Rhinolophus ferrumequinum: one gene and its partners. The protein of the gene in region 1 binds, or shares a complex with, the protein of each later gene. Links are inferred from orthologs where the notes say so. Each region holds a gene or a part of one and is shown in the gene's direction. Other genes may lie near its edges. The genes, in order: CDK9, EAF2, CCNT1 and EAF1.

Region 1 (7,489 bases):
ACAGACCTGTGAAGCAAATCCTGCTATTGTCCCATTTCACAGATGAGGAAACTGAGGCTACAGAGGAACAGAGACTAGACAGACACCCAGGTGTCCTAGCTCCCAGGCTGGTGCCCCTCTCATCTCCAGGTTGTTGTTGGAAGAGGGAAAGGGGCCTGCGGCCTGGTGGTAGCTGCGGGTCTTCCTAGTGGGTCCCTGGCTTCTCTCCCAGGAGGCAGTCCCAGGGACTTGGCCCAACTGCTGAGGCTGTGGCATCAGCCAGCACCGACTTCCTGGCCAGGCTCACTCCCGACTTACTATGTGATCCTTCATAAGAGACTTTACTGCTCTGGGTCTGTTTCCTTATCTGTGAAATGGGTCACAGTAGCCCCCACTTCCGGAGGAATATGAAAGGAGCCTATGTACACTCTGGCCTCAGCAAGCCCTGGCAGTTGTTGCGGAAGAATAGGGGTGGTTCAGGCCAGGAAACCCCAGCATCAGGCACACGGCGTGAGCCCCGGGAATACCGGCCACAACGAGACTATATTGTGTGATGGAGGTGCCTTGTCAGCGCTGGGGGCCCTGCCATTGGCCCGGGTACCAGGGCAATTGCCACATCCCTGGGAGAATGAATGGGGCTCAGTGTGGAGGCTCTGCCCAGCTCAGAGCCCCCATTGTGCTGCCTCAAGTGGCCGTTAGGAGTGCGGCTGGGGGACCTGCTGGCGGTTGGCTGTCCCACAGGCCCTCCTCAGCCTGTGCTGGAGTCCAGCCCAGCCTTGCCCACGCTTGGCTCCGCAGCACTGAACACACAAGTGCTCTCCTGCCATCAGGCCTTTGCTTGGGCTGGACCCATACCTGGAGCGCAGCTCTTCCTTCCACCGGCTCCATCTTTTGCCTCCGTTGAGTCCCTCAAGTCTAGATTCAGCTACAGTGCCCCCAGGAACCCTGCTGTGATTTCTGTCCCCTCTCCTTGCCCTCTTCCCCAGTCTAAACTCAGTTGCCTGCAGTTGGGCCAGGCACCTATTAGGGACTGGAAGCCTTCAACTTCGTCGTCAAAGACTCAGGCAAACCTGAGTTCAGACCCCACCTGCATGATCTTGGGCAAGTCACATCAGCTCTCTGAGCTTCATTTTCCCCATCAGTAAAATGGGACAAATACCACATCTTCACACGATCCTGTGGCAATGAAATAAAACATTTATATGAGAGTATCATCCCTATTACGTTCTCCTGTGTCTTTCTTTGCATCTTCCAAACAGACCTTGTGCTCTGAGAGGAAGCAGCCTTACGCATCCACGTTGGCCCCACGCCTGCTGTACTGTGGGACTCAGTTGATGCCTCTCCCCAGCTTGCCCACTTGTCTGGTATTGGGGGCAGTGTAGGATAGTGATAAATGACCCCAGCCTTTGAGAGCAGAGGGACCTGGCTTTGAATTCCAGCTCCATAGCTTCCTGGCTGTGTGGCCTTGGGCACACTCTGAGCCTCAGTTTCTTTTTCTGTAACTTGGGCCTGATACTAGCAACCTCCTAATAGGGGTGCTGTAAAGTTCTAGGGGGACAACATATCAATACAGGTCCTGGCAGAGTCAGTACCCGTCTAGTGGGGACAGAATGTCCATGGTGTTACAGGGCTCTAGGTATCACACAGCCATTCTCTGTACCCCCCATTCAGGGATCCCTTGTCTCCTCAGACTTACCAGCAGCCAAGAGCACCCACCCCATGGGCCCATCTTCCTCATCCCTCCATACCCTCTCCACCCTGTCCCTGCTTGGGGGAGAAAATAAGAGGGTCCAGGCCAGTGGCTCCTTTTCCCATCCTGTGCCTCAGTTTCCCTGACTGTTAAATGGCAGCAGGACCACAGGCTCTCTCACAGCCTTGTAGTCAGTCAGCAAACATTTATTGAGTACTGGCCACACGTCCGGCCTGGCTAGCTTAGCCAATCCAGGGAAGCAGGAAGCATTTCCCTCAAAAGAGCGAATCAGAAATCCAAGTCAGTGAGAAATTGTTTCTGGCTCGCGCTTCATTTCTTCTCCCTTCCACCTGGGCAGCCTGGGCAGCTTTCTGACCACTCCTGCCTGCCCTCTTTCCCCAGGGAAGGCTGGAGACACAAGGCGCAGAGGGGAAGTGAAGTGACTGGTGAAATGTTGGGGTACAGGTCAAAGACAGTAGGGTGGAGGTGATGACACCACCGGAACTTCTGCTGAGGCTTCTGCCCACAGGATGTGACTTAGGGAGTATTCATGGGAAGTGGGCAGGGGCCCCGGTCTGAGAGACTGATGGTGGCACCCACACAAACCCATGATAGACCCCAATGCTGATATCCCCTCCTCCAGCTCCCATCAGCATCCAGGGCACTCATCCAGTGGTGCTGTGCCATGCCTGTGCTCCACCCCCCGTCCAGGTAGGTGGGGTCCTGACATGGGTACGTGCTGGGGCTTTGTGCCAGACTGGCCTGGCTCAAAATGCCAGTGTGGCCATTGGCCAGCTGTTTTACCCTGGCCAGGTGATGTCACCTCTGAGTTTCAGTGTCCTTATGTGTATAATGGAGGTGATAATAGTACTCAACTTATATGGCTGAGTGAGACTTGAGATAATACCCATAAAGTGCTAAGTGTACGGCTTGGACCATTTATTTTCCTTCAATAAATTGTAATTATCACAATTATTTTCTCCCTCCTTGCCCTCAGCACTCCCACTTTAGCCAATGGCCTCCCTGCTTCTAAGTGTACCCATGAAGCTGATCCCAGATCACTCCCTGGTATGTCACTCGACTACCTAAAACCCTCCTCGCCGGCTCCACACTGCCCTCAGGAGAGGGAGGGCTCCCTGCTCCTCACCGGACCCACAAGGCCCTCCCTGGCAGAGCCCTTGTCCAGAACAGGGCCTCTTGGGACACCATAATCAGCAGACCCACTCCTGCCTCCTCCTACAAGGAGGCTACAAGGCTAAGCATGTGGAGTAAGAGCTGGAGAGTTTCATGCAGATAGAGAGGTTCTGGGGTGCAATCAGGAAGCACAGCCCTAAAGACAGGAAGGCCTGGGGAGTTAGGAAACACAGGAGATTCGTGTGGCCTAGGAGGCGAGCTGGAAAGAACCTCAAATGTCACAATTTTTTTTCTTTAAGGGAGTGGAGGGAAATACCTGCAGACTCTATTTCAGAATGCTCTGGTGGGTACTGTGAGGGAGACAGATGGAGAAGCCGGACTGGGGAGGCCAGGACTCAAGATCCATGGGCAATGGAATGGAGAGGGGCAGATCGAAGGGGTACAGAGGAGGTAAAAGACAGCTTTTCTGGGGGTTGGTTGTTGAGTGGAGCTGGAGGAAGAATCGGGAGGCCCCCTGGAGCCAGGAAGATATCAGAAAGATGCTGGAGAAGGGCTGAGGCAGGGGAAGGGGGAATACGGCCAGGGAGGGAGACACTGGGTGAATGGCAGGCTTGGTGCCTGGCGTAAGGACAGCAGGCCTCAAACAGCACCACTGCTGTAGTCCTGGCCAGGACAGCCTGAGTCAGGAGAATCCCCTTCAGGCAGACCAGGTTCGAGTCCCAGCTTTGTCATTGTGTGACCTTGGGCAAATGACCTCACTTCTCTGAGCCTCAATGTCCTTTTCTGTAAAATGGGTTAGTGATCCTTACTATGACGCTGTTGATTCAGGATTCAGAGGAAACGCCCAGTACTTCCTGAGTACACAGAGGTACTGAGTAAATGCTATTTTTGTGATTACTGACCCAAGGCTCGCGCAGCTCGGCTGGGGCGGGGGTCCTCTAGGTTTCATCCCTGCCTCCCAGAGAACAGGGTCCAGCGCTAGAAGGCCCGGGCATTGCTTATTCGCCGCCTCCAGTGTTGCCGCGCCCCCTGGTGGCCGTCGGTTACCATGTCAACGGCGGGTGGCTGGGGCCCCGGGAGGCGGTGGCGGGGGCCGTTCTCTCCTCCCGGACCTTAGGCCGCTCCCTCGCTGCCTCCCGCCAGTGAGGGGGGGGGAATAGGCGCTCCCCGCGGCAGCTGGCATGTGGCGGTAAACTGAGGCACACGGCGAGGCGCCCCTCAGCCAGGTGTCGAGTGCGGGGCCCCACCTCCGAAGGCGTAGGAGGGGCCGCGGGCTGTGACGCGCCGAGGGCGGCCGGCGGACAGCCGGCGGGAGGCGGCGGCAGCGGCGGCGGCAGGTGCGGCCGCGGAGGACGGGAGGGCGGAGGGAGGGGGCGGGCGGAGGGGGAGGGGAGGGCGAGGCCCGGGCACCTCCCCCTTTATAACGCGCCCCCTCCCGGGCTCTCGGGCCGCCTCCTCGTCGGCTCTTCCCGTCTCGCCCCCTCGCCCGGCCGCCCCGGGCCCGGGCCCGGCCAGGGAGCCCCCCAGGCCGCGGCTTGGGGGCCGTCCCCCCGCCCGCCACCCCGCGCAGCCCGGCGGAGGCGGCGCCGTCGGAGGAGGAGGAGCAGGGCACTGCGGCTGGCCCGGGATCGGGCGCCAGAGCGGCAGCGGCTTCGGCAGCAGCGGCGGCCCGGGCCAATGCAGCGGGACGCACCGCCCCGAGCCCCAGCCCCGGCGCCCCGGCTCCCCGCGCCCCCAATCGGGGCCGCCGCCAGCAGTGGCGGCGGCGGAGGTGGGGGCAGCGGTGGCGGCGGAGGCGCCTCTGCAGCTCCGGTTCCTCCTGGCCTCCCGGGAACTACAAGTCCCAGGGGGCCTGGCGGCGGGCGGCGGGCGGAAGAGGCGGGGTCGGCGCCTCGAGGCCGGAAGTGGCCGTGGAGGCGGAAGTGGCGCGGCCGCGGAGGGGCCTGGAGCACGGCGGCGGGACCCGGAGCGGGAGCAGCGGCGGCGGCGGCGGCTGGGGGTGGCGGCGGCGCGCTAGAGGCGGCCATGGCAAAGCAGTACGACTCGGTGGAGTGCCCCTTTTGTGATGAGGTGACCAAATATGAGAAGCTCGCTAAGATCGGCCAAGGCACCTTTGGGTAAGGATGGGCCCCGAGGGACCCGGTGCCCTGGGCCTGCACCCCTCAGGGCCGACGTCGGGACGCCCGGGGCTGGGCCAGAGGTGGTCGGGGAGCCACTTGGCCCTAGAGTTATTCCCTGGTCTCGCTAGGCCGCACTGCAGTCCGCCGGGGCCTGATGGAGCTGGCTGGCGGGGAGGAGCCTGAGGCCCATGGTGGGGAACGGGCAGGAATTGCAGAGGAGCTTGTGAGGGGAGCAGGATCTCTCCGAGAGACGTCAGGCTGAGGAGAAGAGACTGGGGAGGAAGTAGAGGTTGGGAGAGGGACCGCAGATAGTAGGGTAGCCCACTGCCCTAGGTACCAGGCTCAGCCCTACACGGGAGTCTCTTTTCTGCCCTCCTCCTCTGGAGGGGGAGGGGCGAGCCATGTGAAAACGGCCTGATGAATCTTTTTGGGTCCCCCTTTCGGCCTGCAGGGAGGTGTTTAAGGCAAAGCACCGCTTGACCGGCCAAAAAGTGGCTCTGAAGAAGGTACTGATGGAGAACGAGAAGGAGGGGGTGAGTATGGGTCGGGTGGGCTAGCTGGCCAGCCATCTCCCCGGGGCATGTGGGTTTCCATCCTGCTGCTTCTAGGACTCACGTGTTGAAATTTAGTTTATGTGTAGTAGCTCGAGAATTTCCATAGCCCAGGAAATTTGACTTCCAAATTAAATCTTTCAGTTCAAATATTTTAAAGCATTTGGTATTTCATTCTTAGGCAAATACAAGGTTGGGGCCAGGAGGGGGAGCTCATGCTTGCACTGAATGCACTTGGGCTTGTGAAGTTGGAAAGCCTTTGTTAAAACACTTCCCTTAGAATTTAATTTTGTTCAGTGCAAAAGGAAAATACATGCAATGGCTTTAAAAGGGTGACTAGTACTCAACTGAAAAGGAGTCCCTCTCCCACCACATCTTAGCTCTAGTCCAGCTTTCAGAGATGTGCTTGTTAGCAAGGAACTTGAATGGTCATTTGTGTTACTACCCAGCAAGTTAAACACAGGCACAGAGCTAAAATTTAAAGGTTGAAGAAATTAGGGAGCGTTTAGTGACCAATAATGAAGTGGTTAAGTATCACTATTTCAATTCATTGTCTGAAAGCATCTTCTTGAGGAGTGCATACTACTTTACACCCATTTTACAGATAAGGCATCTGAGATAGCTGATTTCAGAGCCTGTGATCTTACTGTGTCTTCCCAACCTGTTCCCGTTAGTATAGACCCCATGGCCAGTTCCTTGATCTGCAGTGCGCTTTCACTTTTGACCTCCTTTCTTTATTCCACCCAGTTCCCCATTACCGCCCTGCGGGAAATCAAGATCCTGCAGCTTCTAAAACATGAGAATGTGGTCAACTTGATTGAGATCTGTCGAACCAAAGGTAAGTTGTTTGAATCTTGTTCCCATTTTCAAATGGAGAAAATGAGGCTTAGAACTTAAGGCTTTGTTTGCAAAGTTGGAACTGGACACACTTTTAACCCAGGCATACCTACCAACTGTGACTGCTTTCTCTGGTCCTTTCATCGTAGCTGGTGCTTTCCCAGGGTCCGCCACAGCACCTGGCCCAGAGGACTCACTCGGGAAATACTTTACCAGTGAAGGAACCCACAGATGGATTCTGGGTGTCAGTGGGTTGGAGGGGGGTAGGAGCTGGTTGTGGGAAAATGAGTGGTATATGGGATTTTTTATTTTCTTCTTCTTGCTCCTTCCCCATTCTTCCCACCTCAGCTTCCCCCTATAACCGCTGCAAAGGCAGTATATACCTGGTGTTTGACTTCTGCGAGCATGACCTTGCTGGGCTGCTGAGCAACGTCTTAGTCAAGTTCACACTGTCTGAGATCAAGAGGGTCATGCAGATGTTGCTCAATGGCCTCTACTACATCCACAGGAACAAGGTGGGGGAGGAGAGACCGAGGCTTGGTCTGCCTGTACTCCCACCGCTGGGTGGCGGGGCTAAAGGACCCTTGGGAACCTGACTGAGCCCTCACCTTTGCCCTTCTTGCAGATCCTGCACAGGGACATGAAGGCAGCTAACGTGCTCATCACCCGAGACGGGGTCCTGAAACTGGCAGACTTTGGACTGGCCCGGGCCTTCAGTCTCGCCAAGAACAGTCAGCCTAACCGCTATACTAACCGTGTGGTGACGCTCTGGTACCGGCCCCCAGAGCTGTTGCTCGGTGAGGACTCCCGAGTGGGCAGAAGGGGGCAGGGGCTAGGCACTTAACCTGGCCTCAGCCCCCCACTGCCAGGGCTTCTTGAGCCGCCGGCCCCCGGGCATTGCGTCTCAGGAGGCCCTCGGGCTCAAGGGGCACTCCTGGTGCACTCTTCTTCCCAGGGGAGCGGGACTACGGCCCCCCCATTGACCTGTGGGGTGCTGGGTGCATCATGGCGGAGATGTGGACCCGCAGCCCTATCATGCAGGGCAACACGGAGCAGCATCAGCTCGCCCTCATCAGCCAGCTCTGTGGCTCCATCACCCCTGAGGTGGGTGGCCAGGCTGCCTGGGCCTCTGGGCCCTGCAGGATGCAGAAGTCTCCCTGGCAGGGGAGGAGTGGGCA
Region 2 (7,340 bases), on another chromosome or scaffold:
TTTAAGGTATTCAAAGATCAAAGATATCATATTTTTAAAAAAGTATACTCTTTACTTAGTAATAATTAACAAAAGCTAACATATATTAAGTGTTTACTATGAACTAAGCACTGTGCTAAGTACTTTTATAAGCATTACCATATTTAATCTTCACAACAGGACTACAAGGTAGAGCCTGTAATCATCTCCATTTTACAGATGAGAAAAATCAAGCTTGAAGAATTTAAACTGGACATGGTTCCACCATGATGTGGTAGAGTCAGCATTCAAATCCAGATCAGTCTAACTCCAAAGTCTGTGGTTTTAATTACAATGTTCCTAATATTCCTTCCCATGTAAAACATAAAAACCACAAAACATATTCCAAAATTACCTACTTCTAACTCACTTTTTTAACTATTATTCTTCGTAACTTCCCATCCTTTATATTGAAAAGTTGGCCATAATAAAAGACATCCAAAAAGCATCCCTTATTAGGTAAAATACAAATCATTAAAAAAAAAAAATCTGGAAATATTTTAAAGAAATCCCAGCACATCCTGGCACACAGCAGAGATAAAACTTTCCAAAGGTGTAGCTACAGAGGTATTTTATTCTTTCCGATGGCTGCATTATGCAATGCTTCCTTTGTAAGAGTACGTCAAAACACAGTAGTCCCCCCTTCCTTATCCGCAGTTTCACCTTCCATGGTTTCAGTTACCCACAGTCAACCATGTTCCAAAAATATTAAATAGAAAATTCCAGAAATAAACAATTCATAATTTTTAAGTTGCAACACCATTCTGAGTAGCATAATGAATTCTTATACTGTCCCTCTCCCTCTTGCTCTGGATGTAATCATCCCTTTTGTCCAGAGTCTCCATGCTTCCTGCCCGTCAGTCACTTACTAGTAGCCTATTCAGTGATTAGATTGACCGGCATGGTACTGCAGTGCTTGTGTTCAAGTAACCTTTATTTTACTTAATAATGGCCCCAAAGCACAAGAGTGGTGATGTTGGCCAATTGAGATATGTCCAAGAGAAGCTGTAAAGTGCTTCCTTTAAGTGAAAAGATGAGTACAGTACAGTAAAATGTTTTGAGAGACCACATTCATATAACATTACAATACATTGTTATAATTGTTCTATTTTATTATTAGTTATTGTTAATCTCTTATTGTACTTAATTTATACATTAAACTTTATCATAGGTATGTATGTATAGGAAAAAATATAGTATACCTATTTAGGGTTCAGCACTATCTATGGTTGCAGGCATACATGGAGGGTCTTGGAATACATCCCCCATCGATAAGGGGAGACTACTGTATATGTAAACATCCTCTCTATTGTAAGTTATTCAGAGTGTATGCTATGATAAACAATGATGCAACGAACAGCAATGTAAAATGTCCTTATGCACACATGCTAGTACTCTGTAGGATCAATTTTCCTGAAAGGTGGATGGCTGGGTTGCAAGATACATATTTTTTAAATTTTGATATGATCCCAAATTTTTCTTCAAAATGGGTGTCCCGATTTATACTTCCACCGATAATGTACAAGGGTGCTCACTTACTATACCTTTACTAATACATCATTATCTTTTATATTTTTGCCAATTTGCTAGATGAAAAATGGTATTATCTTTTTAAATCTGTATTCATTTATTAGGAAGGTTAGGCACATTTCATATCCACTGCTATTTCTTCTTTTATGTATCTTCTGTTTGTATCCCTCAACTACTTTTCTATTGACTTGTCTTATTCTTTTGCAGAAGCTTTAAGAACACTTTATCTTTTATATTGACTGTAAGCCACTTTCTTCTTGTCTGCCATTTATTTTTCAAAGTTTGATTATGGTGCCTACACCATAGTTTTACAATTTTTATGTAGGCAAGTATAACAATCTTCCCCTCTATGGCTTCTGCCATTGGTGTCATGCTTAGAAAGGTCCTACTTACCTCAAGAGCTAAAATTTATTCTCCTAATTTTTCCTAGTGTTTTATGGTTCTGTTTTATTTATATCTTATTTAACTTATATCTTTATTTATGTCTTCAATACACTTGTAAGATATTTTTGTGAATGGTGTAAGATAGGAATCTAAAATTTTTAAGTTAGATGAGGTTATAGATTAGTGAAAAAAGAACAAATGCACATAGCTGTCATAAATTCCTGAGGTAATTAATGATGAATAGATATAACAGAAGCAATCTGAAGTGCCACCTGGGTATATTTTTGGATTCTATTTAGTTCATTAATCTATTTGCTTATTCCTAGGCTAGTACACATTTTAATACATGTTTGAAAAAGTTCACACTAAAAGGTAAGCTTCATGAAGGCGAAACTCAGACTACCCTTGATGGCTGCCTTCTTCTCTCTGGTTCACTGCTATATCCCCATAGGCTAGACTAGTGCCTGCATACGGTAGGTAGGTACTTAATAAATATATGTTGAAAAAAATGAATAAATGTACAAACTTTGGGTATTCCTAAACTCAATTTCTTGACCTTCTGCTCTTCTTCTTGTTATAAAATGTAAACCACAGATTTCTGGTAGGAAGCCTTGTTTAGGTAAAATAGGCTTAAAACATTGTCCTTGCCTTCTGGGTACCACAATAAAACATCACTGAAACATTATTATCATCACCAAACATGTGTGGAGCACTATGGTAGATGCAATGGTCACAAAGATTTTATATAGGACACACTCCCTGTTAATGGTCTGGTTGGGAAGGAAAAGTATACACACACACAAATATGTATATGTAAAATAAAATACTTAATTATACAAAATATGTTAGGCCAAATAGATGACACAGAAGTTAAGACTACAGACCATAGAGTCAGAGGATTGGGCTTCCTTGAACCAGTTTTCTCATCTGTAAAGTAAACAAAAAAGCAATTCCTACTTCCTAGATAATAGAATAATTCAAGATTTAGAATAAAAGGCAGGCACCAAGGATGGTCCTAAAATGTTGCATGACAGTAGAGTTAAAACTCAAGAATAATAACCATTTGGAGAGCTTTTATTATATGCCATGAATTGTTTTAAATGCTTTTATGTATTAACTCATTTAATTCAACGACTCTAAGGTGTAAGTACTATTATTATTTCCCTTCCAATTACAACTGATGAGCATACTTAACTTTGGTTTGCACAATGTCATACTATAAAATATGAAGCGGGAGTTCAAACCCAAAGATTCTTGCTCCAGAATCTGAGCGCTTAACTGCCCCATGAAACACCCTTAGTACGCCTTAAAAGGGTCGAATTTGAACAAGCAGGTTACGGGAGACACATTCATCTACCTGCCTGGAATAAATTGGTAAGTTTGGCTAAAGTAGAAGTTCAGTAAGGGAGAAGAGTTTGATTACATAATTATGCTGAAAAACAACCACCCGTTATGGTAACCATTTGTAAACTTCCTTTAGAGTGACTGTCCTCTGATACAACACTTCTCTCATCTTTACCATTAAACTCATGAATTTTTGACAGGAAAAAAATACAATTATTTTTCAATTACTAATACTATTACCCTGTTTTCCAGAGCACGAGCTCCGGCCTTGATACTTTGGGAATCTGGTCTTCTGGCCGTGTAGTTACTGCTTCCACGGATCACTGTGAAAGAAAGAAATAAGACAACACAATGCAATCTAGTTGCAACTGATCCTAAACATGTGAAGTTCGTAACTTCTAATCTTTTTTGCCCCACCCTCCACGTGCCCTGACCTTGTCGGTCCTAATAGTACCTGGAACTTCCCCTAGAACAGGTCTGAAAACGATTGCCTAGGTAACGGCGTCACCTTCCAGGCAGGTCCAAAGACCCAGGCTCTGAGGCCGCGGGGCTCCTGTACTCCGGATTCTAGGCCCAGCTTTGGCGCTACCAGGCCTTGGACCCAGAATCCGCTCCTCCCCCGGCCTCAGTTTCCACACTAGATCTCCACAGAAAGCGTGAAGTAGGCCGATTCTCCCGGTAAGAGCTCCTACATTCCAGGTCACTTGGCCCAGAGGTGCGGGATCCCGGCCTCTTGGTACCTCGAGGCCGTCTCAGTCCCCAGCCACCACCTCAGGTCCGTTACCTCATTCTCGCACAGCGTTCCTCCACCAAGGAACCCTTCTCCCACCACGCACCTCAGTTGCGCGGCGTTCTCCCCGCGGCCAGCGTCGCAACGCGGGAAGGGGCGTGGAGGCGGGACCACGAGCTCGGAGCCAAGGGGCGGGGCGTCCTTCTCCAGCCAGCCAATCAGCACGCGAGAGGCGCCCGGTGGGGGAGCGCGCGTTGGGCGGCGGGGCGGAGTCTGTCGTAGCTCCGCCCGCTGCTGCTAATGCAGCTGGTTTAGGCTGAGGTGGCAGAAGGTAGGGAGCGCTAGTTGACGGAGGAAGAGTCGGAGGCGAAATCGGAGCCGAAGGATAACCATGAATGGACCCTGGCATATCGACAGTCGCGAGCGGGTTCTCAAGTTAGGCGCCAGTTTTGAGAAGCAACCGCGCTGCGCCTTCCACACTGTGCGCTGTGAGTGTGGACATCCCGGTGGAAAAGGGGGAGCTCTGGGTGTGGGTGTGTGGAGGCACAAAAGTCTCCGAGTTGTATTCCCATCGACCCACCTTATTCTGCGGGAGAATAGGGTCCCCAGCGCGATCCACTACCGGACCTGGAGTCCTAGGGGGTCGATGGAAAAAGCCGGAGTTGAGCAGGTGTGGGTAAAACCCTGACAGAGAGATATAAGTGAAACCAGCAGGAAGAAAGGGAAACTTTGTGGAGATCTCCAAGGGTGACTGAAGACAGTAGTAACTGATGGATGATGCAGAGGTGGAAAGGAAAATAGTAAGGTGCCAAATGGAAGGGAGCAAAGGACGGAGCCGTTATGCAGGGGAAAGGAAATGCCTTGAGGCTGATGGGGAAATAGTGTCTCCTTCACTTTTTCTGTGTCTGGCTAATGAGGGTTCTTACTTAGCGCGTTCCTAGGGAGAGATTCTAAACTATTTCAATAATCTGTATCTCTTTTGGACCCCTGATTTCACTCAGTAAATTAGCAAATATTGATTATCAAAGTATTGGAGGGTGTGTTATTGATTTCCTTATTGGAAAGATATTTACCTCCCTATGATTTCTCCCTTTGATTTCCTTTTGGTCGTCCTCTGGAATGAGTTTTGATAAATTATGCACTTTTATGTTGTTGAGGTAGAAAAGGGAGGTCTTTTGCTTTAATGGTTGGATGGTATACACTACAGGAAGGAAAAGTATAGCATATTATGATTTGGTATGTAAAACATTCATTCTTTGCATGATAGCCCTCATAAAATTATAGAGTGGAAAGGAAACTTTGAGATCATTGAATCATAACCTATTTTTTCTATGGCAAAATTAGTAAAGTAAGTATTTTTTCACTTTCTTTCACCAGTTCTGCCCTTCCTTAGTGTCTCATCATTCCACTTTTCTTACAGTTATTCTGTCCTCAGACCGTATACAGGTCTTTATTGTTTTATCCTGAAGTATTCCATGCGTCAACTGAAACTTACAACCCCCAAAAGTTTACTTAAGTTCTAGACAATCTAATTATAGTAACTCACAGTAAAGGTATGAAGAACCAATAGATTTCTAACATTCCAAGGATGTCCCAGAGGTTCCAAAAAAATTTATACAAGTGGACAAGTTGTTCAACGTTGCTCAAGCAGAACTTCGCCATAATCAGAAGTGACTGGATGGTGATGGTAACCACTTTGAGCACCTCTTGTAATTGCAGAAGTCACACGTGACTTGTATTCATCTTTTGTTATCAGTATAAAGTATTACAATTTTAATAGTTTTCCTTTCTTAAAATGTGTATACATTTTTTGGCACCCTCTGTATTTACATTTTATAAAGGGATTTATTAAGCAAAATTAATATCCAATTGATAGAATAAATGGAGGAGATATTTGCAAGCAGAAGATCTTAAACAGTGACCCTTGATTATTCTTTTTCTCTCTACTCTGTTGTCCAAAGCTCCCCATAGTGAGATACCTAGTGCTGGCTATGCAGTTTCTTTCCTTCTTCAGTCCCATTTTATAAAAGTGTATTATAGTTCTTAGCTGGTTTCTCCCTGCCTTTCTCTCAAATATTATCTCCTCTCCTCTTTCTTTTTTTTTTTTTAATCAGGTATGCAGTAGTCTTAATTTTTCAAATTACAAGGTTTAAGATTATAAAAATTTGCTCAAAATATGTTTTTATGTAACTTGGGTATATACTCTCTTTAAGGCCATGAACCCCAAATTAAGTGAATAAAAGGAGCCTTTGAAAAGCACTTTGCAGGTGCTTTAGAGCTTTTCATTTATAAAAGTTCTCAAAATGCAGGAATTGTGTCTTCAGAATCAGATGATCCATCTACAAGAATGAAAATAAACAAAAATAAAACAATAACAACCACAATAAACCCAGATCTTTGAATATACTCTTAGTCCTGTGGAAGACATTAGAACAGTTTTCAGCCCTTAGTTTTATTCTTGTTGAAGCAGGCAAACTCTTTTTAGATTTATTTAAACAAAACCAGCCATTATTCTTGATAATAGGTTCATTTCTCATATCCTCACTCTTAAGGATGCAGTGAGGGAAAGAAACTATAGAATGGGAGATCTGACTTTGATACAGAGCAGGTGCATAAACGTCAGTGTAATCTGGGAGAAAGGAACATTCTGTCTTTATGTACAGGGGTAATTATACCAGTCCAATATGCTGAGGCTTTGGAAAAACTTGTGAGTTCTGGCCTCTACTATACATGTAATGTAACTTTGGGAACATTCTCTAAGCCCTCAGCCTCGGGTTTTTTAATATGTAAAATGATAATATTAATATCTAAATTTCAGGGTCTTTTAAGGATTAAATAAAGTAGCATAAACAACCTAGCACATTATTTGGTGCATGGCAGAAAATAAATAGTAGGAACCATTATTCTTGAAGGTTTATTCATGTGTCTATTAGGAATGCCAATTAATGTAATTTACTAAGACTTTCAAAAGCATTTATCAGGCCTTAGCAATAAAACCTATCAAAAAAATAATCTGCATGTGGTAAGGAAGACATGGGATGTTCTGTAAATGATAAGCTAAATGCTTTGCAGCAGATGTTTCACTGGGTAGAAGAGTTTGAGTAACAGGACTCACCGAATAAATTTTGGATTTGGGCTAGTACTAGTTTTACAATTTATATCCAGATAAGGGAATAAACATTGAAATTTCTAAATTTTGTAAATGATACCACTTTTTGCTGTCACAAAATGATGAGTTCATGGGCATTAACTATACGGAGATGGTCTGAGGCATCAAGTGCAGCCACTCCCCCCAAAAAACGGTTGTTAAGCTTTGGTGTTAGAAAATATTAGC
Region 3 (7,143 bases), on another chromosome or scaffold:
CTTTTCCCATTAGAGTCCTTAGCATATCAGTTATTTTAAATTCCCAGTTTGATAATTCTAAAACTTCTGCCACATGTGAGTCTGGTTCTGATGCTTGCTTTGTTTCTTTAGACTGTATTTTTTGCCTTTTAGCATGCTTTGTAAATTTTTTTTAGAAAGTCAGACATGATATACTAGGTAAAAGCAACTGAGGTTTATCTTTATCTGGCTGGGAGTTAGGCTGTTTCTAGTTTGCTATAGCTGTAGGTGTCAGAGACTAAAATTTCCTCTGATGTCCTTATCTTTGGGTTTCTCTAGAAATTCCTTCTTAAATACTCTGAGCTTGCAGTTCTTTCAGATGTAATCCCATTATTACATAGGCCTACTGATGTGATGGTAAAATGGGGGAAAGTGTTCTGCAATCCTATTAGGTCTGTGTCTTTCAGTGAGCTTGTTTCCCTGGACTGTGTGACCTTCACAAATATTTGTCTTTTTTCCCCCCTTAGGTTAAACAAAGTTCGCAGCTGGAGTTGGTTGTTTTTTTCTCACACTGGTTAGGCTTTTAGTTTTCCTTGAGGGCAGGCCTTTGTTGAGAACTGAATGCTCTGGGTTTATTTTACAATGGCTACCTTTCCCCTTTACCTGCCAGAAGGTTGAGATTTTTCTTTAATCTTTATAGTAAGACCTGTGGTGCTCCTGCAGGTAAAACTCACAAAAATGTGGGGGACCTCTTAAGTCTAGGTCCCCAGAAGTGTTTTTAATCTCTCAGTCTAGTCCAATTTCAGTTTCTAGCGATTAGTTTATTGCCCTTTAAGTATCCCTATCAAGGGCTGGTTCCAGTATTTTTTGCTCCCCAGTAAGCCATGATTCTGTTCTGCCTGTTGCTCCGGTTTTTGTGGTAGCAGTTTGCCCTGTCACCTCAATTCTCTGATGAATCTAGGAAGGGTTGTTGATTTTCAGTTTGTTCAGCTTTTTTTCCCTTGGTTGTGAGAACAGGAGTGATGACTTCCAACCTGTTTACATGTCAAACTGGAAACCAGAAGTCCCTGTCAATTGTATCTGTATGGAGGAAATAGTATGTGATGGTGTGTTCATCTCTTCTCAATTTCATGATCAGTGACAGTCGCATTGGTAGCTTGAAATTGGTTTGGGAGATAGTACTATAGAAACTGGCAAATGCTATAGACAAAGGCTTGACTTGTTTTATTGATTGTCTAGAATTAAGGAAGTGATAGAGAAGTTAATTATGTAGATTAAGCTTAAAAGTGTATGGTGTGTAGCCATTACATTATCAATGGCACAAAAGATTGAAATATTCTTCCAGTGTTCAAAAACTATTATCCAATTCAGCAAAGATGTTGCTCAAGTCACTCTTAAATAAGTTCCAATATAAGTCTCATTGTTTTACTTTCATCTTATTAATGCAAAAGAAAATGTCAACCAACAGTCAAAGCTATACTCGTTTGTCAAATGCAATCATAGGTTGGTTCTTGATTTGAGTTTGGCAAAAACACACACACCATGGTCAATTTCAAGATATCAACATGACATCACTGAATGTGGAGTTGGGGATAGTTAGGAATAGCACACCATCTTTTTTCGTATTTTAATTTGGAGACTATAGGAATGTAGGGAGAAATTGTTTTAACAGTAGTAAATGGTAACGTTTAACATGACTGAAATATGACACACAAAATAAGATCAAACCATGAAATATAGTATAACCTTGTATTAGATTAGTCTAGGGAATAGGAAGAATAGCTTTATAGGTGTGATTTACAGAAAATGGAGTCCTATATAAACTAACAACAAAAAAATTCCTCTGGTTTAAGGTTTTGTCAACTGTTCCTTAAGGCAATGTGCCAGAAGGTTAGCATTGACAATAAACATGTACTGAACACCTACTATGTGCCAGATGGGTGTTCTGTCAGGACGCAGACATGACATTTAAGGTCACACAGCTAGTTAAAAGAATATCTGGGAGCGCACCTGAAACTAATAAAAAAAAAAAAATACTGTAACCTGTTTATGAAATTATAAAAAAAAAAAAAGAATATCTGGGAATTTTGAGGATATTATACTAAGTGAAATAAGCTGGTCAAAGAAAGACAAATACTGCATGATTCCACTTATATGAAGTATCTAAAGTAGTCTAACTTGTGGGAACAGAAAGTGGAATGGGGTTGTCAGGGCTGGGGGAGGGGGAAATGGGGACTTGTTCAGTGGGCACACAGTTTGTTTTGTAAAATGAAAAAGTTGTAAAGACCTGTTGCATAATACTGTGAATATAGTTGATACTACTGAATTGTACACTTATAAATGGTTAAGATGGTTAAAGAAAAATAGATGGGATTTGAATCCAGCCCTGACTCAAAAACTCATGTTTAGCAATTATTTTATCACTGCTGTTATCACTACTTTCAAATAATTTCATCTTCAAAGAACCTTTCCTTTCTCTGATTTACACAGGTCCTCCTCTTCTGTATGGCAGGGTAACAAGCCAATGGTTTGCAGATGCAGTGCCTGAAGCCTTACAGACGCGACAACTTTTTCTTGGAAGACTGGCAGACTGAGCTTGGATAGCAAATTCAAAATGCAGTTATCAATCCAAGAGATTACGTGGAGAACCAAACACAGGTCAGGGAGACAGGCAAGAGCGGATCTAGGAGAAATAATTTTGGCTTTTAAAAGATAACACACATGACTACATAACTGTAAAAAATGTTTATTAAAAGAAAAAAGTCTGATGGAAGAAGTTTGAAGTCATACTTTTTTTTAATGTTATAACTTGATGTGAGTAATTTACACCTTCCTGAATCTCAATTTTTCTAGACTAAAATGGAGCTTAGGCTATCTGTAGGCAGTATATGGCAGAGGAGGGCCTGAAATGGAAGGAAATGCTTCTGAGAATGAATTATAATCAAACTTACTGTGTGGAGGCACCCATATCTAGAAATGATGACACTCAACGTATTATAAAAAAACAAATGATTCTATGACCCATATTTAATCAAGGTAAATTGAGTGTTCCAGAAAAGAATATAGTTTGCTGGACTAGAAAGAATAAAATTAGACTTGTTTTTAAAATCTACACTTATAAGCTGTGCATGTAGGGCAAACTACTTAATTTCTCTGAGCCTCAATTTCTTTATTGTAGGGTATTTTGAGCATTTCACATTTATTAATTAGTAGGGCCAGGCCTGTACTAGGCAGGTGCCAAGGATACAAAAATGAAGGAGGCACTGTCCTTGTTCTCAACATTAATATAATGTAGTAACTACTATAACATCTACTAAATGTTTTCTATGTGCAAGTTACTATGATATACTTTTAACTCAAATCATTTAAAATCCTTCCCACAATCTAAGACATAGGTACTATTATCATTTACATTGTACAAGAGGCACAGAGAAGTCTTGCGCAGGATCACACAGCCATCAAGCGTTGGGACTGCGCTACATCCTGACAGAGGACAGGAACTTACAAAATTGTGCGTGTGCATGATGGTGCAGCGTGGTGTGCAAGCTTTCCACACCGAAGGAGCGGTTTTAGCTCACCCGTTCGCAAACAGGGATTAAAACATTACTACCTCTTGAGGTTGCGCCGATTAAATGCGATCGTATGTTTAAGAGCCAGTATTGCGCCTGGAACACGGTAAGCACTAAGTTAATACTATTCATTTCATTTTATTCCTTCATTGGACCACTGTGGCGAAGCCAAAAATGCTCTCCAGGCTTTAGCTACATACCGGCTTTTCATATGCGTCATTTACCTGACTACCAACAATGTGAGAGCCTTCTAGTTGCTTTACATTACGCTACACGATAGGGCCCCTCTCTTTGATTACTTTTTTCAGTTTTTGAGTCTCACCTATTTTCTCCTGTCAAGTTCTCCGCTGCCCCATTTTAGATCGCCCCCTCCGCCAAAAACGAAATTCTCGGAGGAGCCGCGGCGCGGCGCGTGGGCGGGCGCCTCAAGCCGCCACCAACATTGCCTCACCCACTAACCCAAGGCGCGAACGCTCAACCCAGTTCACGCGAGAGGAGACGTGGTTTTGAACGAGAACTTCCAACCTCACCCTGCCTCCCAAGGGTCACATGACTGGCGCCTGCGTCCTCGACCCAAGGTCTTTCCTGGTCGCTGACTGGCTGTTTACTCGACTACAAGCTGTCGCGAGGTTCCTTCCGGAAGTAGACCCTTCAACTATACCCCTCGGCGGAAGCATGTCACAACCTAGCCGTCCACCTTTAGCGGAAGTTCGTCACGGCGCAGTTGCCGCCGCACAGCGGATGTGTGTCGCCGCTTAAGTGACGCTGGAAAGTGCTTGCAGCCTCCGCCGCTGCTTTCTGGTTGAAGCACTATGGAGGAAGAGAGGAAGAACAAACGGTGGTATTTTACTCGAGAACAGCTGGAAAATAGCCCATCCCGTCGTTTTGGTCTAGACGCAGATAAAGAGCTTTCTTATCGTCAGCAGGCGGCCAATCTGCTTCAGGACATGGGGCAACGTCTTTACGTGTATCCTTGCGGCCTAGGCCTTTGGCTTTGGAGTCAGTCCCGCTTTGCCCTCGCCTCCAGGACTCAGGTTCTGTTAAGGATGGTAGGGGGAAGAGGGGGGGCAGGGGCTAGATGTCTAGGTGAGAGAGCCTACGATGGGGCGGGCTGAAGTTCACAGTGTCCGCGCGAGGGTGGCGAGGCGGAGTTAATTTCCCGCTCGCTCACCGGGGCCACCAGCCTTTCCGGGAATTCGTATCCTTCCAGGCTTTGTGTTTTAACTGGCCCTTCTTAGACCGTTTTCAGTGTGCTCTGATCTCCTGTGCTGGTGACTTTGAAATTCTGCTTTTCTCTGATGCCCTAGGTGTCTGCTGGAGGTTTCATCGTTGATAGTTGCCTCTTGAACTTAGCGTGTGCAAAGAGTTTTGAGAAATTCAGTATCTGAAGGTCTTACGAAGGGTGGCCTAGAATTAATGTCCAGCTTTGGTTCAAAATCCGTTCTTCCCACTTACTGTTTAAGAAACCTGTCGAATTCTTGGTTTTCTCATCTTTAAGTGATACCTCTTGAGTTTAATTTCTATGCCCAACACACTGCTTGGCACTCAAGTTCAAGTAGTAGCTACTGTTAGAGGTTTACAGACTTTCAGAGGAAGGAGGAATGTCAGTTTAGATTTTAGGGATGTAGGCCTACAGATCTACTGGTTTGAAAAACTGTTGCAAAATACTGGGTTTTTAAAATACTCAGAATGCTAATGTATTCGTTTTTCTCATTTCAAAGGTGAGGTAGGAGGTGTGATAAAAAAATATGGTGAATGTTTAAAAAAAATGTATTACAGTAAAAGACACATTGCCATTAATCGCCCTCAAAATACTCTCCCTCGCTTTGGACACTTATCCCATCGTTCTTGCCATTTACAGTTCTGAAAGTCCTCTTTCCTGAGTGTCTGTAGTTGCACTGTCGTGGCTGCCTCGATGTCCTGAGTCGATTTAAAATGTTTTTTGTTTTTTTTCATGGTCATTTTGACTTTGGGGAAGAGCCAGAAGTCACACGGTGCCAGATTCAGTGAATAAGATGGATGAAGACACACCATAATGTTTTTATTTGACAGAAATTGCCATACCATAAGTGATGTGTGACATGGAGCATTGTCATAATGGAGGATGAAATAAAGACACCCACGAAAGAGGACTTCCAGAACTGCTTCAGAAAGTGGCAAGAACAATGGGATAAGTGTGTTCAAAGTGAGGGGGAGTGTTTTGAGGGGGATTCATGGCAATGTGTCTTTTACTGTAGTACATTTTTTTAATTTAAACATTCGCTGTATCTTTTGATCACACCTCATAATTTGGTGATTCTTCCCCCTCCGAGCATTTTTTGTTTTTGTTCTTCATTTCATGTTTATTATCAGTGCTGGAATAGAGAATATTTTATAATGATTAATGACGTGGTTACCAACAGTTTTTTCAAACACCAAGTGTCAGTATTTTTCTGGTAACTATCAATTTTCCCAAAACAAAATAACCAACGTAATACAATTTCAGTAGATGGTGATACCATCAGCATAATTCACCCAAATTACAATAATAGCAATACTTAAAATCATGCACATTATTTCACCATTTCATAAACATTATTTTTAAACTTCAACAAACTTTCCTAGTATAAAAAGACTCCTCAAAAACTTAATGATAACATTAAACTACAGAATACACTCTGGAAACGTAGGAAGTTGTTTTCAATTTTTGACTTTAAGATTCTTTTTTTAGTGATAAAAAATATGGTGTGTTTAGAGAGGTGGAGAAAAAGGAGCAAGAAGTTCATGGATTCAACATGTCTGAAAATACTTCAGTAATGTACAGGAAAAACTTCAAGAGCAAGAACATTATAAATAAAAGTTTTTCACCAAGGTGAACAGATGAGCAACTCTTGCATCAGTTGCACCCCAGAGGACAGGTCGTGAAGACCTGTTTACAGAATCTTCTGTAAGTTAGAGTTGGCCACCTCCAGTGATGCATCTTTTACTAGAATAATGTCGTGAGTCCATCTAATTTTCTAAAAGGTCATCCGCTCTGCCATTTAAATACCCAATTTTCAGAATGTGTTCAAGTTTGCCATTCTTAAGTCTCCTTGGGAGTCTCCCAAGCAGAATTATGTTACTGTTGTCTTTTAGTTGACTGGAATGTTCTGTGTTCTTCAAGGTACCATCATGTTTGCTAAATACATGAATTAGTTCTGTAAATCCTTTGGGCAACCCATTGTCATCAAAATCCACAAAGTTGGACGCTACTTAGACATTTGGATAGTAAACATCAGCTTGACAGATAATCTAGTGCATCACTGATACCAGCCAAAAGTAATGAACACAGGGATACTGTGTTGGAGCTTATCAGAGAAATTCTCATATCATTCTTGAGCATAGCATCAGATTCTGCCATAACTTCTTCAGGGTTTGGTAAAACCTGTTTGACAAGCAAACCATGTGATTTAATGTACCATTCTACCATATAAGGGTACTACTCTTCTATGGTAAGAACAGATCAATTTCAATAGCGTAATATTTTTCCTTGAGTTGCGGTAACTTTTTTCGACATTCGTCTGAAACCAGCGTACAGTTGTCAATGACATGACATGTTAGATATCTTTTCCCTTTGTAGGAAATTCTTGGTGTCAAG
Region 4 (7,708 bases), on another chromosome or scaffold:
TGAAGTCACAGGGATGCTCCCAACCTTTTGCAGGGGTTTCCACCAGAAATATCACCAGGCTGTCACAGAAAGGATGGTGTTCTTTCTGGTGCTGGACTTTGTCTTCTACTTCAAGGGAAAAAAGGTTTAACGTGCAGGGGAAAGGTCATTTGAGGCCTGTAGCCTTAGGGTACTGGTGGAATACCACTGCCACAAGCGAAGGGAACTACTCTGCCCCGACCTAGTCTTAACCTATCTGCAGGAAGAATGGCCTCAAGACCACAGAGGAGGACACTGGTGGATATCTCCCTAAAGCCGGGGGAGGGATGGGACAGAAAAGCACTATTCCTGGAGAGGCAGAGATACTTGTGAAGTCCACACCCCCGAGACACAGGCGGACTATGCAGTTCAAAACCCGATAATCAGAACATTAGAGAACAATCCCTTCTCCCATACTCTCCCACAAGTCTCCAGTGATAATAGTGGCCTGCAGCTGGAGAAGCTGCCAAGAGATAGACTCTTTATGGGGAAGAGCCCAAGGGGAAGATCCAAAGCTAAGGGGAGAGACAAAAACAGTCACCAGAGGAGACTGAAGTCTGTGGTACCCATAGCAGCAATAAACCTCACAGCTAACTATAGCAACAACAGACCTCAAACACAGCCCGACTATCTAGATTACAAATCCTTATTACCTCAGTATCAACTGCCCTATATAACATATCTAGCTCTCAACAACAACAAAAAAAAACCACGGCATACCAAAATACAATAAAAAAAGTCTGAAGGGAAAAAGCAATCATCACAACCAGACTCAAATATGACACAAACGATGGAATTTAAAAAGTTTGGGCATTTAAAATAACTGATTAATATGTTAAAGGCTCAAATAAAAAAGGTGGACTACATGCTAGATCAGATAGGTAATTTCAGCACAGAAAGAGAGACTACAAAAAGAATCAACTGGAAATGCTAAAAAATCAAAAACATAGTAACGGAAATGAAGAATGCTTTGACAGGCTCATTAATAGGAATGCCTATTGCCTATGAAGGAATCAATGAACTTGGTGACAGGGCAACAGAAATTATACAAACTGAAAATACAAAGAGAAAAGAAGTTTAAAAAAACAAAAAAGCAAAACAACATCCAAGAGTTGTGGTACAATAGCAAATGGTATAACATACATGTAATTGGAATCCTAGGGGAAGAGAGAATAGAGCTGAAGAAATATGTGAAAAAATAATGACAAAAATTTTTCCAAATTAATAAATATAAAAAGAATATGTGATTATATAACTCCTAAACAAGACATAAAACCTTAGCACCTCAAAAGGAACAGACTAATAAATTCAAATTTGATAATTTAAATCCTATCATAGAACAATATCATAAAACAATGTTGAATAAACTATACTTAATCCCAGTGCTTACAACACTCATTGGCACACATTAGGCTCCCAATAAATATATGTGGAATAAAGGAACTCACAAGCAGAAAAAAACCCAAACTAATGCTTATTTACATATTATAAAGACTTCAACTTCACTGGTTATAAGAAATAAACAAATTAAAATATGGAGACATTTTATTTTGCCCATAAGATTGGGAGAAATAAAGACTGACATCAAATGTTGAGGGCATAGAGAAAAAGTTATCTTTATGTTATTGGTGAAATTATAAATTGGTATAATATTCTGGAAGGAAACTGGGCATTATCTATTAAAATTTAAATATGTATACTCTTTCTCCGAGGAATTCTATTTCTTCCATTATTCACCATAGAGACACGTGTACACATGTTTTGTAGAGCACGTGCACAATGGTGATTACGTTAACCTTACTTATAAGAGCAGAAAGTTAGAAACAATTTAAATAAATATCAACAGGGTAATTGTTAAAATATGATATATCCATTCTACGGAATACTGCAGCAGGTAAATAAAATGTAGTAGACCTATATATACAAAGAGGAAACACTGCAAGACATAATGTAGAGTGAGAAAAGTTAAGTTACAGTACAATGTGACTGCACTATTAAAAAGTCTAACGGATGCCAAAAATGTGAAGGGCTGATGGAAAACTAGATATCTGCATGCTGCCAATAAAGGGTAAGTAGATCTTGATTAAATACAGCTATAAAAGATACCTGGGACTATTTGGGGAAATCTGAATTGAGTACTAATGGCATTAGGGGATTACAATTAGTTTTGTTAGATGTAAGTATTTTGTGGTCAGTTAGAGAAAACCCTTATTGAAGACGTATGCAGGCATATTTAGCAGTGAAGTGTCTGTAATTTACTTTAAAATGGTTCAGGAAAGAAAAAAGTCTATAAAACAAATGTGGAAAAATACTGGAAATCATTAAATCTGGGTATAAGTATATAGTGTCATTATGGTATTTCTACTTTTCTGAATAAAGCTGTTTCTATAATGTGTTATATATGTATGTAAACAGGAAAACTATAACATGTTTATGGTGATCACAGCTGCTTAGCTTCAGGGAGAGGTCTGGAATTGGACAAATGGGTATAGAGGGCAGGTCAAACAAGTCCAACAAAACAATCATAAAATACCAGGATGGTGCACCAACCTTGACATATTCAACTGCTCTTGGAGAAAAATCACAGGCATAAGCAAAGATATTCAGATCTTCTTCTAAAAGCGGGAATAGACAGTTCCCAACCCCACAGCCAGCTTCAAGCATAGTCAATTTCTGACCTTCAAACTGAGAAAAGAGAACTCAAAGTTAGAGGACACTATATTTGCATAATGAAGAAACAAATCAAATTAAAAGGTCCAGAACATGAAAGGTCTCTGCCTCCTGGAGCAGACAATAAACAAGTAAACTGATATCCAAAAGCTAATACAGATATCTCAATTTGTCATCCAACATGGGGCAATTTGGTGTGGAGAAAACAGGATAATGGCTAAGAGAACAGGCTCAGGGGTTAAACTGCTTGCATTCAATCCAGACTCCTTCCTTCACCCGTGTTCTATCATTGGACAAATCACTTAAATAACCTTTCCCTCAATTTTATCAATAAGGGGATAATACTAATGCCTACTTCACAGTTCTATTATAAGGCTTAAATTACAAAACACATGAAAAGTTCTAGAAAAGGGTCATGGTAAAGTGTTTATCATCATCATCATTAATGAATCTGAATCTGTCACTGAAGTCACTTTGTATAAATTTAATATTTACAACTTTCAGATTAGCTTTAAAGAAACAGAAATGCCCATTCAAGTTCTTTCTCCTACGTATTATACAACCCAGGAACTGCTAAAACTACTTGAGACCAAACAGAGTATTTCTAAGGTACAAAGCATTCTGACAGGCTTCATAAATTCTCTACCTCACACTTCCATAAAAATGCAAGAAAGCACTTCTCTTCTACATATTTTAAACGAAGAACAGCTCAAATAAGGTGTAACATTACCTCCCTACATGATCTGAGCTCCTGAAACTCTCGGGTGGTCCAGTGTCTATCTTTGAAGAAATTCGTACTATTTCTTTTGTAAAAAAGGTCCCAGTTCTTCTGAGCCTCTTTTTCCAGTTTTTGCTGTTTAAAGTCAGACACTAAAACTTGGTCTCTTTTCAGTTTCTCCTCTTCTTCAGAGCTGAGAATCCTTGCCTGAAGCCCTTCCCTTTGCAAAGATGCCATCTCTTGGGGAAATGGTAATGGAGTTAACACTGCTGAAGATGCTCCATCCCTGAATAATTTGAGGAATCCAAGCTGAATCTGCAGCTGCAGGCGGGGTTTTCTTAGATGTGGTTCCTCAGGCTGGGTTCAAGCCTCCGGGAGCATTTCTGCTTCGCAGGAAAAAGAATGAGATTTTGGTTAGTAATTTTAGAGCAGTTCTTTAAGATACTGAGTTAGTGGTTCTACAACATTCCTTTCACCCAAAAGTTCAATATACCAAACGTTTACTAGTGCTGACTCTACACAAAACCCTGCCCATTATAGGAGAGGTCACAAAGAAGAGCAAGACAAAGCGCCTACCTTCAGAGGACTTACGTTCATTGGCCCTGGACTCGCCTGCACCGAACACTAATTCAAACCAGACTAAGTCATCTATTATAATAAATCGGTTTAGTTTAGAAAAAGGATACTGCCAAGAACTCGTTGGGAAACCCTGGAGGGAAAATACTCATTAATTTTCGGTGCGCCTCTGAAAAGGGTGACTCTACAACCGCAACAGGTGCCTGAACTGGAGGAGGGTGGTTAACTGCCAGACAGAAGTGGGGGTCATGGTTTCCCAAGGATCGGAGACGCAGTTTTTTTCGGGGAAGATGGAACTACTACGTTCGGGTGGCCTGAATCTCTGATCGCACTCACAAGAAACTGCCTCAAACCAGCGGGGGAGTCGCTTTCCAGGCCTTCGCACCGCCATCACGGCGCGAAGGGAAGGAAGAGACTGCGTGACGCGCGGTGTAGGGTCATCTGTCTCGGGACACTCGGGATAAACCAGGCCGACCCGGCCGCCAGGGCCTGAGGAGAGCTGGCCAGGCCAGCTATCAGACGCGCGTTAATCTAGTCAGCGGCGCTCTGGGCGCACTGTCATCAGCTCCTAGACTCAACTGGAGGGGTACTTAGTGTCAGGCGCATTCAGCCCTCCGCCAGGCCCCTACCTCGGAAGCAGAATTTGGGAGCCGCCGCGCCAAACCCGCGTCTGAACTAACCAGCGCTGAGCAGCTCAGACTCCCGGCGGAATTCTATTGCTATGGCACCGCCCCCGCCACTTCCGCTACGAACCCAGAAGTCCCTCCCCGACGCCGGAAGTCCCGAGGCCTTGCTTCCTCAGGGGCTTCCCCCACCCCGACGCGGAGACTTGCTTCCGGCCCTGGGTGGGCGCCGGCGGCATTCCCGGTGCGCTCCGGAGCGGTGTCACGGGAGCACCGTACTCCCGGACGCCGGTGCCGGAAGCTCAGATCGCGGCCGTACTTGGGTAGCGCCGGGCCGGGCGCGAGGCCCGTGTGGGGCCATGAACGGGACCGTAAACCCGCTGCTGGACCGCGAGGAACACTGCCTGCGGCTGGGGGAGAGCTTCGAGAAGCGACCGCGAGCCTCCTTCCACACCATTCGCTGTAAGTCAGCGCTCTCCACGTGTCCCTTCGGCTTCCCCAGCCTCCCGGTGCCAACCTCGGATCCCTCCTCTCTTCCCTCGGCCCTCCACTGTACAGAGAAGCCCCTGCCTACGTCAGCTCCCTTCTCTCCTACCCCGGGTCCTCCAGGACCTCGATTTTCCCCTTTTGATCCTCCAGGACCTCGATGTCCCCCCTTTGGCCCCCAGCTTACTCTTCCCAAACCAGACCCTTCGTCACTGTCAACTATTCTTGTGTCTCAAGGTCCCAAACACTTGTTCCGAAGTCCATTGGCCCTTCTCTCTTTTCATGCCCCCACCCACCCTTCCTGCCAAACCCTCTTTGTTACCGAAAGAGTGTGACCCCACATCGGACTCCAGTGCTCCCTCGAATCCATCCCCCGCCCCTTCTGATGCCCCCACCCAGGTTCTCCACGTTTAAAGGACTCTTCCTGTTTGCTCGGGAGCCTCATCCTCTCCCTTCTATTCCATTCTCTTCTTCCCTGTTTTTCCTCAGCTTCCTTTCCTCGTCCGTCTTTACTCGGGGCACCCCGACAGGCTGCGCTTCATCCCCTCTTGCAGCCAAAGAATCCACATCCTCTCTGCGCCCCATCAGAGCGTTCCTCTTACAGCTTCCTGCACCTCGTTTGACTTTTGATGTCTTTTGAGGTCACTTCTACGACCCTGACTTTAACTCAGGCCCTGGTCCCTTGTGGATGAAGAATAAAATTAGCATTTGTGAGCCTGGAATAAGTTAAAGCTTGATCTATGTCTGGAGGCCGAAGAGAGTAGACACACAGACTATCGCAATCGCCATGAATGCTGGACCTTCCTTTTTCTACGGGATTATAGACTGTTGAGGAAGGAAGGGCACGTCTACTCTGTCCCGGGGGAAGATTGGCTTTTATGAGCTGACGGAGCATCCGTGATTCACAACTCCTGGTTTCCTGTCTCGGTAGTGCTAACGCTGGTTAAGACTTGTTTTTGTCAAAGGAGCTAATAGATGTGACTCAACACATTGCAAGAGGGCGTTAGATAATGATGTTCCATCTTTGTGTGGTGGCTCTGCCTTGCCATTACGATGATTCCTACTGGAAACATCAGCTCTCTTAGAGGGAAGATACTGGGAATGTGATAAGAGCTTCATTTCCTGAGCAGTTTACTAAGTTGATGTTTTAGCAAAGTGAAGGGCAATGTAGAATTTAAATGAGACACTTCACATATGCATCTGGCCTGCGTTTTGAGGCAGGTGTGTGTTACAATGGATGGAGTAAGATGGCCATTCATGTTGTACTTGAACTGCAATTCAGAAACATGGGCAGGACTAACCTGTGGAGACAGTTCAACCATCTACTCTGAACATCTGCAGGAGTATCTTTGTGTGGCACATCCTAATTTTGACAGTTCCTATGCAAAATGACATCAGCTTATATGATGCTGTGGCATTTCATGTAGAGTTTTACAATCACAGAATCTTATTAATATGCTGTTGCTTTTGAGCCTCACAACAACCCTAACAAAACACTTTATTGTGGATAATAAGCATTCATTTTCATCTGTCACTGGGGAGAAGGGAATATCTTTGTTTAATAAAGTGGTATGTAAATTCTAGATTTTTTTTCCCTTCAAAATAATCCAGTTGGGGGTTGGGAGGAAAAGTATATCAGGGTATAGATGAAACAAGATTGTCCCTGAGTTGGTAATTATTAAAGCTGGGTGATGATGGTACACCGAGTTTCGTTGTAATGTCTCTGCTTTTGTGAAGTTTTCCACAGTAAAATAGGTTTTTTTTAATATTCTAAATTATTTGTACTTTCTATTTATCTGAGTAATAAAAAAAAATATTTCTTAAATGAGCACACCCAGAAAGTCCTTAGTATAAGTAACCTGGTGGATAAATGCTATTTTTCCTTTCCCTTTAGATGATTTTAAGCCAGCATCTATAGATACTTCCTGTGAAGGAGAGCTTCAGGTTGGCAAAGGAGATGAAGTCACAATTACGCTGCCACATATCCCTGTGAGTTTATTCCATTGTTGTTGTCTTTTTAAATGTAGAATCACTGTGAATCCTCATATTTCATGTTATTACAATTTGAATTTCCTACTGTTTAAAACTTTCTAAAGTGCCAACAGAAGGAAAAAGGAGATTTGGGGTATAGCCTGGAGTGGAATTCATGCTTCCCAGGTGCTTGATTAAATATTATTCTTGTTGCCATTTTCCCCACACTCCCTTTCCCCCCATTTGCTACAAAGTAGACAAGGATCCTACCTGGGCACCTAGCCCCTCTTTTAGACATAGAGAAAAGCCCTAGGTGCCATGCTGATATATAGCAATGACAATTTAGGAGAGTGGGGCTGCCAAACCAAGAGTTAAGTTAAGGCGGGTAGGAGTAGGATTTACTTATTTCATATATCTGGCAGAGGGTGAAGTGTAGGCCGATCATTTCAGGCACGAACCAGAGGTTCAGAGCATTCAGCTAGTTGAACAATGCAGAACTTAGTTAAAAGCTGAACTGAGAACCTTTGCAGAGAGAGGCTTTTGTAAAGCCTTGCCCAAGGCAGCACTCTGATCACAAAGCCCGAAGGATTAGACAGAATTCTCTTAGCGAACATGTGTCATTCATTGCATGTCACAACCCTGTCCT

The links.
Region 2: CDK9 (region 1) and EAF2 share a complex: the UniProt entries of both Homo sapiens proteins name them as parts of the super elongation complex. The link is inferred for Rhinolophus ferrumequinum from reciprocal best matches to the Homo sapiens genes CDK9 and EAF2.
Region 3: the proteins of CDK9 (region 1) and CCNT1 are in contact, whole or in part, in a crystal structure (PDB 3BLH), measured with the Homo sapiens proteins. The link is inferred for Rhinolophus ferrumequinum from reciprocal best matches to the Homo sapiens genes CDK9 and CCNT1. Residues at the interface, in NP_001252.1 of Homo sapiens: Val8, Glu9, Cys10, Pro11, Phe12, Cys13, Lys56, Glu57, Gly58, Phe59, Ile61, Leu64, Ile67, Lys68, Gln71, Leu72, Leu81, Ile82, Glu83, Ile84, Arg86, Ile99; in NP_001231.2 of Homo sapiens: Arg5, Lys6, Arg11, Trp12, Arg26, Ile72, Gln73, Phe78, Phe89, Leu90, Lys93, Val94, Pro98, Lys99, Lys100, Leu101, Val134, Glu137, Ile139, Leu141, Gln142, Thr143, Gly145, Phe146, Glu147, Leu148, Thr149.
Region 4: CDK9 (region 1) and EAF1 share a complex: the UniProt entries of both Homo sapiens proteins name them as parts of the super elongation complex. The link is inferred for Rhinolophus ferrumequinum from reciprocal best matches to the Homo sapiens genes CDK9 and EAF1.

Annotation. Positions count from the first base shown.
Region 1 is NC_046295.1:76,825,709-76,833,197, forward strand, and holds the start of CDK9 (cyclin-dependent kinase 9), read left to right. Parts: upstream 1-4,478; 5' UTR 4,479-4,480; coding exon 4,481-4,920; intron 4,921-5,374; coding exon 5,375-5,456; intron 5,457-6,221; coding exon 6,222-6,312; intron 6,313-6,659; coding exon 6,660-6,826; intron 6,827-6,936; coding exon 6,937-7,108; intron 7,109-7,266; coding exon 7,267-7,415; intron 7,416-7,489. Other genes in the region: SH2D3C (SH2 domain-containing protein 3C), read right to left, coding at 3,706-3,752. UniProt on the Homo sapiens protein: Protein kinase involved in the regulation of transcription.
Region 2 is NC_046285.1:46,766,023-46,773,362, forward strand, and holds the start of EAF2 (ELL-associated factor 2), read left to right. Parts: upstream 1-4,321; 5' UTR 4,322-4,397; coding exon 4,398-4,494; intron 4,495-7,340. UniProt on the Homo sapiens protein: Acts as a transcriptional transactivator of TCEA1 elongation activity. Acts as a transcriptional transactivator of ELL and ELL2 elongation activities. Potent inducer of apoptosis in prostatic and non-prostatic cell lines.
Region 3 is NC_046293.1:49,873,152-49,880,294, reverse strand, and holds the start of CCNT1 (cyclin-T1), read left to right. Parts: upstream 1-4,129; 5' UTR 4,130-4,339; coding exon 4,340-4,494; intron 4,495-6,439; exon of another isoform or gene 6,440-6,523; intron 6,524-6,692; exon of another isoform or gene 6,693-7,143. UniProt on the Homo sapiens protein: Regulatory subunit of the cyclin-dependent kinase pair (CDK9/cyclin-T1) complex, also called positive transcription elongation factor B (P-TEFb), which facilitates the transition from abortive to productive elongation by phosphorylating the CTD (C-terminal domain) of the large subunit of RNA polymerase II (RNA Pol II).
Region 4 is NC_046300.1:31,205,261-31,212,968, reverse strand, and holds the start of EAF1 (ELL-associated factor 1), read left to right. Parts: upstream 1-4,688; 5' UTR 4,689-4,703; coding exon 4,704-5,067; intron 5,068-6,985; coding exon 6,986-7,080; intron 7,081-7,708. Other genes in the region: tRNA N(3)-methylcytidine methyltransferase METTL6, read right to left, coding at 2,569-2,703, 3,419-3,643. UniProt on the Homo sapiens protein: Acts as a transcriptional transactivator of ELL and ELL2 elongation activities.